Linked DNA regions of Oryza sativa Japonica Group. The protein of the gene in region 2 binds, or shares a complex with, the protein of the main gene of each other region. Links are inferred from orthologs where the notes say so. Each region holds a gene or a part of one and is shown on either strand. Other genes may lie near its edges. The genes, in order: actin-related protein 6, SWR1 complex subunit 2 and actin-related protein 4.

Region 1 (4,406 bases), on a different chromosome or scaffold from region 2:
AAAACCTCAACTGTATTCAACACGTGGACCAACTAATTATTTAATGAAAAACTATTACCATCTCAATCAGTGATTGTGCTGTCCCAGAAGTGCAATTCAAAGTTTCAAAATCTAGCTTCTAATAAAGGAAATACCAACCCTTCATACATACATATGAAACACAAAGCCACCTTTGTCAACTACAGCACTAAGTTCCAAAGATAAGATACTAAGCTATCTACATCTCATTAAGCTGGTTACACAAGCAAAACATTCTTAGCAGGACTTTCTGTGTGAAGGACCATTTGACCTTGAAGATAAACTTGAAATCAGGTTAAATTTGAACCCTAAACAATAGGCAAGCATGTATCCATATGTGGTGGGATGAGAATGGCAACAGACCTGGCAAGACGAAGATCACCAGGGACATCAAGGGATACAAAGCATAGTTTTTCCTTTGCATCATCAATGAGGAGTGTTTCATCCATGACATTAAGGGAGCGATATGAAATGAGCTCTTTGAGATAGTTTGTGAGGGCCTTTCCACCAAGGTCCATGCGCCGCACAGCATAATTCAGTGTAAAGTTTTGAAGCACGGGAGATGCATGAGTGAAAGAGAAGCCACAGTCAACAACAAGGCTACATTGAGCTCGAAACAGCGATGGCTGGCGGCTAGCCTCATAAAGGTGAACAAGGGAAGGGGCATCTGCAACACAAAGAGATTTGAAACCAAGCTCCTCAAAAACAAGCTCATCGGTTGCATGCTGCAGTGCTGGAGGGTTGAACTGTGGTTCCACCAGTAGCAACGATGAGTTGTTAGGATCCACCTGCAGTAGGTTGCGTATAACCCGCTCCCACACCTCCCGTTGCACTTCTTGATTGATGAGATAGCCACGATCAATAGGACGCCTCAATGTCATGCCAGTAACATCAACATCTTGTGCCTGCAGCTGGTCAGCAACTAGCCATTTCTTGGAACCAGGGGGCTTGGCCATACAGTTGGGGACAACAGCAGTCGGATTCATGTCCCCACCAAATCCAGCCTTCAGAAGACCACCCCCATTGTCTAGCACCACAACACCTGATCCACCCGTCATTATATGCCACTCTCCTTTTTCCTCCTATTCTTGCCTATCCTTGGTCAAATGAAAATCGAAATGGTATGATTGGATTTACAAGCACTCCTACATAAATAAAACCACACAACAGATGGAAATGGTAAATTGCCAAGATTGAAACAGCTAATGCTAAATAAAATCAAATGAAGTAGCCATCATGTTTGTAATCAATACTCCCTCCGTTTCATATTATAAGTTAGAAAAAATTAGCAACATCTAAAACACCAAATTAGTTTCATTAAATCTAACATTGAATATATTTTGATAATATAATGTGTTTAAAATACTATTATGTTTTTCTATAAACTTGGTCCAACTTAAAAAAAGTTTGACTAGGAAAAAAATCAAAACGACTTATAATATAAAATGGATGGAGTAGTTGCTTACGTAATCTGGGAAAATTTTGCTAAAGTGTAACATTAAAGAACAATACATAGCATCCATATCTCAACCAACCATGGAACCAGTCAGGAAAAAGGAACTCGGTTGTACCAAAAGCAATGCATAACATCAACATACAGCATGACAGACCACCAAGTATTTTAACCCTGCAAACATTGGCGGAAGCTTGATGCGACCAATATAGTTCCAACAACAGCTAATAGTACAGAGGTGGAGCTTCATGGAGGCCAACCTGGGTGTTGCCCCCTCAGCTTTGGCAGCAAACACATATATACTTAACAAGTATCTAGTAAGAAAATTTATTTTCTGCTCAATTGATTAGCAAGTGAAGAGGGCAGATGCTTTCTTGGAAGTTTGGTGTTCAAATCCTGAGAAGTCCATTCTTTTTCTTCAGTTTAATTGCTTACTAAATCATTTTCCTCCTATGGATGACAAACATTTTTATCTTAATAAAATAGCTCTCTTAAAACCTGTTAATTTACAATAACTTTGATATGTTGTCTTTTATAACTTGAGTGATCCTTTTCCACCTGTTTAACAGCTATACTTAGGTATAACATATATTTTTTCTTAACAAAAACATGCTTGGAAATTATTTTACAATATGAATAGCCCTTCTACAAATTCTACTTCTGCCATTACCAACATTTCCACTCTATAATAGCTGGCCCCATCTAGAATCTCTCTCAAGCTCCGCCACTGCAGTAGTACCTTTGCAAATCGGGCCTATAAGAACGCGATCCTCGGCCAACGAATCGTCACTGCATCGGCATCTGGTTCAGCAAAACTGCGCATAACAAAGAAATGCTAAGTTTCAAACCAACTGTTGATAGCAAGTCGAGAAGGGGTTCTATGTGCAAGAGTAGTACAAAAGCCACTGTTTCTCTCTTCTGCTTCTTCTTCTTCTTTTGCAAAATAGGCGTTGGAGATGAGCGCGCATTACTTCTACCCGAGTATAGATTCAATAGACTTGCTCGAAGTGTGTGACTTAAGCATAAAAGCAATAAAACGACCCCCGTATGGCTTACTACGGCATTAGGTATTCTCGAAAATGCGATATGGCGAAAGCGAAGACTAGAGAGGAATTTTACCCCACACAGTTACCTCGCGCGGACCAGCTGGAGGCGTGCGCAGGCGCCGCTCACATACGTACGGCGGCTGATGGCGGCGCCTACGCCGCTGCCCCCATCGGGGAAGGGCGGCCGGCGGAGCTAGCTGCTAGCCAACCTGGAGGGGGGGGGCGCTCCCACGGCGAGGAAGGAAAGGGGCGGCGGGGTTGTCCGTGGCAGCGGTGGAATCGGCGACGGTGGGACCGCGGGATGCGCGGCGGCGAGGGTGAGGGCGGCGGCGGCGCGGGTGTGGACGCTGTGGCGGAGGGGTAGTAGCGTTTCGGGGAAATCGGGGAGGGCCGTTGGATATAGACATATAGTATAGAGCATATGAGCGGTTAGAACTGTAATACCTAAGGCAGCGTTTGGCTAATGGGAAATAATTTTTCACCTACCAAAAGATATCTTTAAATTCTAACCGTTCATTCACCCTCTTCCATTTAATCATAACCTTTCATTCATTTCTCAATTCTAATCCCACCCTCTTTCCCATTATCCAAACACACCCTAATAGCGTAAGAGCATCACCAACAAAAGTGTATAATCCACCTCTAAATTTTTATTTTTGAGTTTTCTAAACCGAAAATAGGAAGTGAAAAAACTAATATTTTCAAGAGAAAACCTAAATTTATTTTTCAAAAACTAAAAGTGAACCATTCTATTAAACTTAAAAAAATCATTGTTTTGCTCCGTACCGTGCGTGAGAAGGCTCGCGCAGCCCTTCAGGCCAACCGCGACGAGGGAGAGAGGGGCTGGCGCCTACCCACTGTCTCGCGAGCGGCACGAAGAGGCGGTCGTACACCATCTTTGCTCTTCTTTACGTTGCCGCCGCCTCCACTGTTAAAGCCGGGGGCTCTCTCTATCATAAGATATGGGTAGAGTTTAGGCGAGGTGACACCACCAGCGATGGAGCCCTGGCGGGATCAATGACAGGGAAACTCTTCCATTGCCGCATAACTCACCTCCTCTGCCCCGCCTGCCCCGCTTCCTCTATGCCCTTCTCCCCGTATCCCCTTCCTTGTAGATCGTCATCGTGATGGACAACCGCGTCCACGAGCATGTGGTTGAGACCACGGTGCATTGGACGGCGTGCGTGTCGAGCCACCGAGGTCCCGCCACTCATCGGATTGGATTCGTGCGTGCCGGGCCGCCGAGGTCCCGCCATGCGTTGGTGTGGTAAGAAGACGAAAGAAAGAAGAAACAAAACGGGAAAAAAGAGATTGATGGAAAATGTGACGGCAGTGGCACGATTTCAATTTTGTATAATTTCATTAGCATGGTTACGAATAGACGAATTGTAATGGCATATATTTGAAATGGACATATTTGCAATTGGAGTAAATTGCACCCATGGTACACCAACTTGGCAAGTGGGTGCGATATAGTGCAAGAAGTTGAGAATTGAACGTCCGAGTGCAACAACTTGATAAGTGGGTGCGTTCTAATACAAGAACTTGATAATTTACTCCCTCCGTTCCATATTGTAAGACTTTCTAGCATTGTCCACATTCATATAGATGTTAATGAATCTAGACATAATATGGGCAATACTAGAAAGTCTTACAACATAAAACGGAGGAAGTAGTATTTTGGTGCATTAACTTGGCTAAGCATATGCTAGGTGATTTTTTTTTCACGATGTCAATATAACATTACATAATCCTACGGATATTACCTTATAGTATTGAATGTAATCTTTAAGAATTATATTGCACATATAATTTACATCCAATTACCTTTTAAGAATTTTTTGTTTTCTTCACCTTCTCAAATATCAACTAAATATAATAATTTATAC
Region 2 (4,266 bases):
CAAAAATAACAGTACAATCAGATCAGAATTCAAATGTACTACTTTGAAAAAGAAATAAAACTACGTTCCAAATCTCTTCAGCAGGACCATATTAACACAATGCACATCCTACAGGTGGTCTTACAGTGGCTAGAAAATAATAACAAATCGGCTTCTGTGGGATCATTTCAAATTGCCAAGTCAAAATAATGTAGCTATTTCACCAGAACTAGATGGCAAACAATAACAAGGATGTGGCAAACAGCATTTCAAGCAATGCAATGTCTAAGGATAAACACTCTGCTAATAATGTGGAGATGTTAAACAAAAGGTGCACGTGTGCACAATTTTATTTAGATCAATGCAATAAACACAGCAACAGTTTCGGCTTCAGAAAAGGAACATCAAAGGCCAATATAGGTCACTTCAAATGTGCGCTCAGAGAACATACTTGGCAGGAAGTCCAGTTACAGCACAAATAGATTTCTCTGGATCTGTAATGAAGAATATTATCATGAGAAGAGGAGGGCATATAAGTAGTATGAGCTCAATCTGTCACGGATGCTCACATTTAGTGATTACTGGCAGAGGCAAATAACAAAGAATAACCAAATGAAAGTTTGCACTTACAAGGAGCTGAGGTTGTACAAAGTTCTGACCCAAATGATGCCCCGTTGATGAATTCCAAGCGTGACTCCCCTAATTCAGCACAGAACTGATAATAAGCTATTGAGAACACCTAAGGTATTGGTTATCATAATTCATAATGTAGAAAAAAGAAGCTAGTAATTCCACATTCCAGATGCAAACAGATGCTTGATGATATTTTAATAGAGAAGTTACCATCTCTTGAGCAAAACCGAATCGTAGGACCCTCATAAACAGCTTTATGAACAACGGCTTTTTTCTTAACCTCCTCCTCTCTTGCCAATACACGTTCAAGATTTCTCAGGTTGATGATCTCTGGAAAAATATACAAAAAATGCCCCAACGTATTAATGGCAACAATTAAAGCTGGCTCGTTACAGGTCTGCAACTTTTAGAGATCAGGCAAATTACTACACAGCTTTTGGAAGAAAAGCCAAAAGAAACATAGTCTTTTACAAAGTCTTTTTTGACAAACAGCAAACTAACAAACTAAAGACAGAACTGCTCGGAATTCCAGCTAACAGGAAGCAGGTCCATACATCACGATAGCCAGAAAAAGGACCCACCCAAATTCAACAAAACCAGACCTAAAAGACAGCACTCTCTCAACAAGACAAACTCATACTCCCAAATCGTCAGGTAGCAAACTAGGCGATCGCATTTCATTCAAGGCCTGCATCATCTCTTCTTGTGAAAACTGGAAAAGGTTTATAAAAACAAAAAACATACCTGTTTCAGCTGCTTCCAACAGCATCTCTTCTTGTGTCATACGCTTTTCTTCTCCCTCCTTTTTCTTCTTAATAACAGGCTGAAGCCATTTACAAGATGAAAAGTGAGCAAATTAAACCCTCAAAATGGAAAAATGCCATGGATTGAAAAACTAATATATGAGTAACACAATATTCTTTTGCCTGGCCCATGGGCAGCCACAATGCACTAACAACAAAATTTGATACAAAGAAGCTAAGGACTCAATGTGGGCATACAACCTTCATCGTTGCTTCTTTCTCAGCACGTATTGCCTCCCTCTCAGCTTGTCTGACGATGACAGATGTTCTAGTTGATTTCCTGATGGTCTTTTCACCGGTCTCCAGTTCATCAGGAATGTCTGTTTGCTTAGATGGACTTTGCTGATCTGAATACTTGTCAGTTTTGGAATCATCTTCCAGCTTTGGGACCACCTTCTTCTTCTTCTTGGCATTGATTTTTTTCATAGTCTTCCCAGGGAATATGAGTCGCTTTTTGATAGGTAATCTGCTTCATGATTGAGTTGTGACATGAGTGTAGAACTAATATACACCATATTGTGACTTGCTCTCAACAAACACATGTACCTACCTCTCACGTACTTCCTTTTCCGGTTCATCATCAGGTTCCGACTCCTGGATGAATCCAAAGGAGTTACATCAAACAACTATGTGCAGTGCTTAGTAAGTAGAAGCAGAAGAGCAGCACACCGGTGAAAGCTAAAATGATTAGGAGCAGCATGAAGAGGGATCTCACTCACATCTTCACCAAAATCACTGTCGAATTCATCACCAGCATCCTGCTCTTCCTCGTAGTTGTCATCTTCTTCATCCTGGTAATAAATATGAGCAAACAATGAAGAATAGTATTTGTCATCCTGCTTAACCAAGCAATTGCAGCAACCAACAGCATTGACGCAAGTCGCACAATTAATTAACTAAATGGCGAACTCAACAACAACGGAAGCTATTCTAATTATCTGTCCCGAGCACACTAAAACAAGATCCAAGACCCGCTAAAAGAAATCAAGAAATGATAAGAAGAAAAGCAGCAGAATGCGGGAAGGAAGAGAGTGAGAAGAGAACCTCCTTGAGGGCGTCCTGATTCCAGAAGACCTCGTCCTGCTCAACCTCATCTTCGAGGAGCTTGGTTATCCTAGGAAACGATGACAGAATTGAATTGAGCGGCGGGCGAACTAGGTATTGCAGCCAAAGGGATAGAGCGAGCCATAGAGGATGAGGGGGAGGGAAGCGCGCACCTCTTCCCACGGGTGGCACGAGAGGCGCGGTCGAGGAGGACGGGCGGATCCTCGTCGGCGAGGTCGGCCATGGCGGCGGCGGCGGCGAGACGGCAAGAAAGTCAACGAAGAAGCAAAGGTGGGCCGCAGCGCACGTCGGCGGAGGCGGCGGCGCCGGCGAGGAAGGCCCGCGTGGGCGGCGGGTTGGCGGCGGCGGAGGTGGGCGGTGGCGGTGGCGGTGGCGGCGGCGGGTTTCGGTGAAGCGATTTGGGAAGGGAATGGGGGACGGGACTGGCTAGGATCGTTTGGGCTGGGCTGGGCCCACCTATTGGCTGGGCTCGTTTGTTAAGGGATAGTTGGGCCAGCCCAAACTATTTCAAGAAAAAGTCCAACAAATACGAGTGACATATGCACGAGAAATTTGATAATTTAACTTTTTTTTCTCAATTGTGTTTAATTGACACTTGTGAGGATAATATATGGGACCATCTGAGTGAATAAAAGTTGGTCAAGTTATCAAATAATCAAAGCTCATTTTAAGGTGTTAAATTATCAAATCTCTCAACATGCACCTTGTTTCATGATCCATCGACGACTGCAACATCTAGGAACTACCATCGTACAAACCAACTTATCTTAGAAATATCGTCGTCGTCAGGGTTTCATTCATTTCACTCCGTTCAAGTTGTGGAATGTCATTTGAAACATTAGAGCCCAAAATGATGGTAGCTACGTCTGAGCTAATAGCGAAATTTGACAAGATAGAGTTGGATATCGAAGCGGAATCGAAGGAAATTGAATCTTGCCAAAACGAACTGTGCATCGGCTGGAAACAAAGTCAGAGTTTGATTGAGCCGATATGGCAAATGGTCGATACAGCTATACTTGGGCTCGGGTTGGGCTTCGATTGAGATAACCGTCATTGCCGTTTAGGGATTGAGCTCATTTAAGGGTGTGTTTGGTTCACGGTCAAGGTGGGCAGCCCCACCCCTCAAAAGGCAGTGGGCAGCCCCCTCATGCGCCGCCCGGTGAATCTGGCAGCTGGACAACCGGACACCCCGGCCGACCCAACTCCATCACGCCCACCCTCGCCACCGGTGCCTAGGAAAGGGTCGAGCTATACTACAAGTCAAGCAGTTACCCACTCTCGCTTGTGGCAAGCACGGTAAGTCTCACAGGGTTTCCCGTGAACCGGTCCTTAACTGCCATGGGTGCGACCAGCAAAACCATGCACCCACAGCCCACCATTCAGTGTATTTTAATTAACTAACACCATTGCGGTGGCACCAATCCAAAGCTATGCTAATAGTCAAAGTCTATGCAATAATATGATCCCCATTTGTGTACTAGTTGAACTAAGCACGGCAAAGCATTTCCTAAACCAATATCTAATCATTTTGATACCCAAGTTATCAATGGCATAAGGTAAACAATATATGGCTGAGTAATAGAACCCATCCCACGTGACATTGTAAAAGAATGCAACATTTAATAGAAATGCGGGATATTTGTAAATTGGGTACAATATGATCAAATGTAATGCATGACTTGCCTTGCTCTCGCACTGATGAGACCTCAGCAACGTCTTCGAGAACCCGCGGATCGACGAAACGGCCAAAATCTACGCGACAAACAAAACACACAAGCAAAACATG
Region 3 (4,275 bases), about 3.4 Mb from region 2:
TTGGCCCAGCTCAAATTTCTATAGTTATAAATGAGTTGCCAAATATTTTGGCTTCAAACAAATGGGTGCCACTTTTTATTTTTTGGTATTGCCAAGTGCCAACTACTAGAATGGTTTCTATCAAAAAAAAAAAAAAAACCTACTAGAATGGTTCAGTTTGGCTGTAAACCAAACAAACCCTATATGCCCTATGCCTCTATGTATTTGCTTGTATTGACCATTATTGTTCTAATTTTGACCATCGGTAACATTTTAATGATTAGATTACGAGTAAATTGCACCCACAGTGCATCAGCTTGGCAGGTGGGTGTAATTTAGTGTAAGAACTTGAGAAATGAGCGTTCTAGTATAACAACTTGGCATGTAGGTGCAATTTAGTATAAGAACTTTATAAGTGATCGTATAAATGCAACAACTTGCAAGATATGTACGATTTTAATAAAATAAATTAAGAAGTTATGTGGCAGTTTAATTATTGAGAGCATTTTTTTATACATACAATTTTTAAGTACTTATGTTGACAATATACTAGCGTGGATTTGGATATAAAGAAAACAAAAATTCTTAAAGGTAATTGGATGTGCAGTATAATTCTTAAAAGATTAAATTCAATATTATAAGGTGATATCCATAGGATTGCTATGTAATGACATATTAACATCGTGAGAAAAACTTACCTAGCATATGCCTAGCTATTCTTGTACTAAAACGCAACCACTTGTCAAATTGTTGCACTCGAGCGTTCAATTCTCGAGTTCTTGCACTATATTGCACCTACCCGCTAAGTTGTTGTATCGTGTGTAATTTACTTTTAGATTACGATAAATAAAAAAGAGCTAAATTGTACTTGTTTTTATGCAGAAGTTGATTTTTGTTAGGACGGTGGAGACTGTAGTTTAGTGAAAATCTAGAATGAACGTAGCTCAACTGGTTAAGTTCCTTGTGATGAAACCAGCACACTCGGGTTCAAATCCTAAATGTGACATGTGTGTTCGTATTTACGCCTAATCATTCTTTTAGTGGTAAGCGACATACCAGTTGATAGCGAGGCACCTGTGGTGATTTCATCAATCTCAATTCTCAAGATTTGCTAGCTCAGTTTACTAGAGGTGCTCGTAGAGGTAGTTTGTGTGCGTGTTGTCGGCGTATGCATTTTAACTATGTTTCAAAGAAGAAAAGAAAACTGTGATGAAGGTTGTGAAACGGAGGGAACATTGGTTGAGGTCTGAGGGCCGTATCGGACGGCTAGGATAAGCTCCAGTTAAGACGATCCGACGCGGGGGGCAATTTCGGTACAAGAAAAAAAAATCCTTCATTTTCTCTCCTCCTCTCTTCCCTTTCACTTGGCCGTCGTCTCCTCCCCCCGACCCCGCCGCCGCCGACCTCTCTCCTCCGCGCCGCCGACGAACCACCGCCGCCGAATCCCCCTCGCCGGCGGCCACCCGGATCTCCCCAGCCATGTACGGCGGCGGTAAGTTCCCCCCTCTCTCGCCCCCGTCCATCCCCGAGCTAAACCCTAAACCCTAGAGATCTGTGGCACTGGCGCTGCTTGGTTTTTTTCGCAGATGAGGTCTCGGCCATCGTCATCGACGTGGGGTCCTACAGCTGCAAGGCGGGGTACGCCGGTGATGACACCCCCAAGGCCGTCTTCCCCTCGGTGAGGCAGAATGCTTCTTCTTCTTCTTCTTCTTCTCCCCTCCTGGGTTGGCTCGCTGTAATTCTGTCTCGGAGTTGGAACTGTGTGGTCTGTGTTTTGTTGGTGAGAGTTCGTGCGGGTGGTGTCATGGAAATGATAGGGCTCTGTGCGCAATGCAATCCCACTGGCAATTTTGTGTGTTTTCTCCCCATAATTTTGAGCTGTTTTAGGTCGTTGACTTTGAATTCTGATTTGAAAAAAAAAAGAATGATGTGTTAGTGTGTGGCGTCATGATATACAGACATATGTTTATTATTTAGGTCAAGCTGTGAATTTTGCTGCGTGCATTAGTTCCTCCTAGGTCCCCAGCCACCTGATTAATGGTTTTATTCGAGCACTGGATCTTAGTCTGGGAACATGAATAACAGCAGTTTTTTTTTTAAAAAAAATGTTAGTAGCAGGCTAACTCAGATATTGGATAGTACCACAGATAAGACCTGCACTTACCTTTTGATTTTGACATATGCGTGCAAAATTATGATGTATTGACTGCATTGTTAGTTTACCTTTCAGCTTTGTCTTAGCTGCAAACCTGTGCCATTGCTCGCATAGGTAGTAGTTAGCAGTGTTGCATATGTGCACTGAGAGTCAAATGCCAAACTGAATTTTTAAAGTGCTAAAAGAATCTGCATTGTGGTTTCTGTGGAATTGCTACATGTTGGTACTAGACGTTAACTTCAAATGCTATGACAGGTGAACTTCTGGTTACTGTGTTTGTAACGGGAAGTACTTTTCTTGTGTATTATGTCAAATAGGATTGTACTCTTTCTGTCCCAAAATATAAGTATTTCTAGAGTTTTGCACGGGTATTAAGGAAGTAGGTGGAATTAAATGGGGGATATGATTTTTTTGATTGGTTGAGATGAGGAAGTAGGGGGTGAAGTTACTATATTTTGGGATGCGGTATTTTTTTGTCTTAGGTTCTACAGTATTATTTTTTAAAATTTTTTTCTTCCTTTAGTTAACAGACTTATATTGGGGTAATTTGAATTCTTGGAGTAGATTGCTAATTTCTCTTTGTTGCCGAGGAAGTGAGAAAACATATAATTTAGTGACATATAGCAAAACAATCAGCTGTAAGGTACTAAAAAGTGGTGTGTGAATCACACAGAAAAAGTGTTTTTGAGTTTCACTATTTGATGTCGCTGCTAATAGATTAGCATATTTTCTTCTCCTTTTTCTACATAACGTGGCAGTAGTTGCAAGATATGTCATTGGTTCATGGGATTATGCATCTGAGCTACCTAATGGGTAATTTGGTTTTAGAAGTTCTTACTGTGGTTGGTGCACATTCTGTTGTGTTAAGGTTGTTGGTTCAATTGAGCAAACGGGAGAAACTGATGAAGCAAAGGCAGACAAGGAGGCTGAAGCTGCATCAGATTCTAAGAATGGAGCCAAACCTATGGATGTGGACAAAGCCAAGACAAAGCGCAAATTGTATGTTGGTCAAGAATTGGAGTTCAGGAGGGATCATATGGAGGTTAGTTTATGCAGATTCTCAAGTATCAATATTGATGCTCATGATTTTGTTAACTATTGTTTACTGATTCTCTTCCTACCCAATAGGTGATTTCACCAATGAAAGATGGAACAGTTACTGATTGGGATATTGTTGACAATATATGGAATCATGCTTTCAGGTGAGTTTAACTATCTATTTGATGTAGATCTGAGTAATGTCGTGCCAAAAGTGCGCGCTGAAAGAGCTGGCCACACTTGTGGCAAAACTTGACTAGAAAATAAATATCTGACATGCGGGGCACTTGAGTAACAAGGTTTGGCACATTGCTTGTGTGGTTTGCCAAACACTTGCCAGTTGCTGCAAAAGGCCAAACATGCCTTCCTTGATTCTGGGGAAGTTTGGGATGAACCATACTCTCTATTTAACATAGTTTGCTTAGAATCTGCAACAAAGTTCATCTTCTAGGCCTCTAGGGCATCTTTTGGATGTCAACATGGTTACTGCTTTATGCCATTGCCCACCATCTTTTTACCTTACATATTAATATTGTGCTTTTCAAATATACTGATAGTGAAATTCCTTCTTACGTGTACAAACTGGATAAGGCTTTCCTTCTTGGGTTATTTACTTTTATTGGATTCTGTGGCATCTCTATTAGCTAACATTGATTAAATACTAGGATTTCCTCTATATGGTGTGGATATGCAACTATTGAAGTTTCTGCTTTGTTAGCTTTTATCTTCACACTGACTTGCTCTACATTTCAGGCAGCGGCTATTGATCAATCCTGAGGAGCATCCTATGTTGATAGCTGAACCATCTACAAACACAGGACAGCAAAGAGAGAAGTATGCCTATATGTTCTGTATTTAAATTAATTGTGTTGCTAAGTTGCGTCAAACCTGAAAAACATTGCTTGTTATATGAACTAGCTGATTTATAGCACATTTATCTTCCATGACTCTTATCAGTCATGAGAACTGTATTGGTACCAGGATTTACTGCATGCTTTTCTACTTCTCCATTTAATGTCAGAAATGTTAGTTTTTCTGTGTTTCTGTACTTCAGGAATGGACAAATATGGAATTGTTGATCACCCTGTAAAACTTATAAATAC

What was found.
Region 1: SWR1 complex subunit 2 (region 2) and actin-related protein 6 share a complex: the UniProt entries of both Arabidopsis thaliana proteins name them as parts of the SWR1 chromatin-remodeling complex. The link is inferred for Oryza sativa Japonica Group from reciprocal best matches to the Arabidopsis thaliana genes SWC2 and ARP6.
Region 3: SWR1 complex subunit 2 (region 2) and actin-related protein 4 share a complex: the UniProt entries of both Arabidopsis thaliana proteins name them as parts of the SWR1 chromatin-remodeling complex. The link is inferred for Oryza sativa Japonica Group from reciprocal best matches to the Arabidopsis thaliana genes SWC2 and ARP4.

What each region holds. Positions count from the first base shown.
Region 1 is NC_089035.1:9,333,411-9,337,816, forward strand, and holds the start of actin-related protein 6, read right to left. Parts: upstream 2,884-4,406; 5' UTR 2,604-2,883; exon of another isoform or gene 2,369-2,603; intron 2,287-2,368; 5' UTR 2,211-2,286; intron 1,164-2,210; 5' UTR 1,077-1,163; coding exon 382-1,076; intron 1-381. UniProt on the Arabidopsis thaliana protein: Component of the SWR1 complex which mediates the ATP-dependent exchange of histone H2A for the H2A variant H2A.F/Z leading to transcriptional regulation of selected genes (e.g. FLC) by chromatin remodeling. Binds to the promoter region of FLC chromatin.
Region 2 is NC_089042.1:5,452,162-5,456,427, forward strand, and holds the start of SWR1 complex subunit 2, read right to left. Parts: upstream 2,929-4,266; 5' UTR 2,704-2,928; coding exon 2,633-2,703; intron 2,530-2,632; coding exon 2,460-2,529; intron 2,207-2,459; coding exon 2,135-2,206; intron 2,010-2,134; coding exon 1,966-2,009; intron 1,882-1,965; coding exon 1,617-1,881; intron 1,436-1,616; coding exon 1,357-1,435; intron 943-1,356; coding exon 823-942; intron 679-822; coding exon 610-678; intron 474-609; coding exon 431-473; intron 1-430. UniProt on the Arabidopsis thaliana protein: Component of the SWR1 complex which mediates the ATP-dependent exchange of histone H2A for the H2A variant H2A.F/Z leading to transcriptional regulation of selected genes (e.g. FLC) by chromatin remodeling.
Region 3 is NC_089042.1:2,095,541-2,099,815, forward strand, and holds the start of actin-related protein 4, read left to right. Parts: upstream 1-1,345; 5' UTR 1,346-1,458; coding exon 1,459-1,471; intron 1,472-1,565; coding exon 1,566-1,657; intron 1,658-3,002; coding exon 3,003-3,176; intron 3,177-3,262; coding exon 3,263-3,336; intron 3,337-3,925; coding exon 3,926-4,006; intron 4,007-4,275. UniProt on the Arabidopsis thaliana protein: Involved in several developmental processes including organization of plant organs, flowering time, anther development, flower senescence and fertility, probably by regulating the chromatin structure.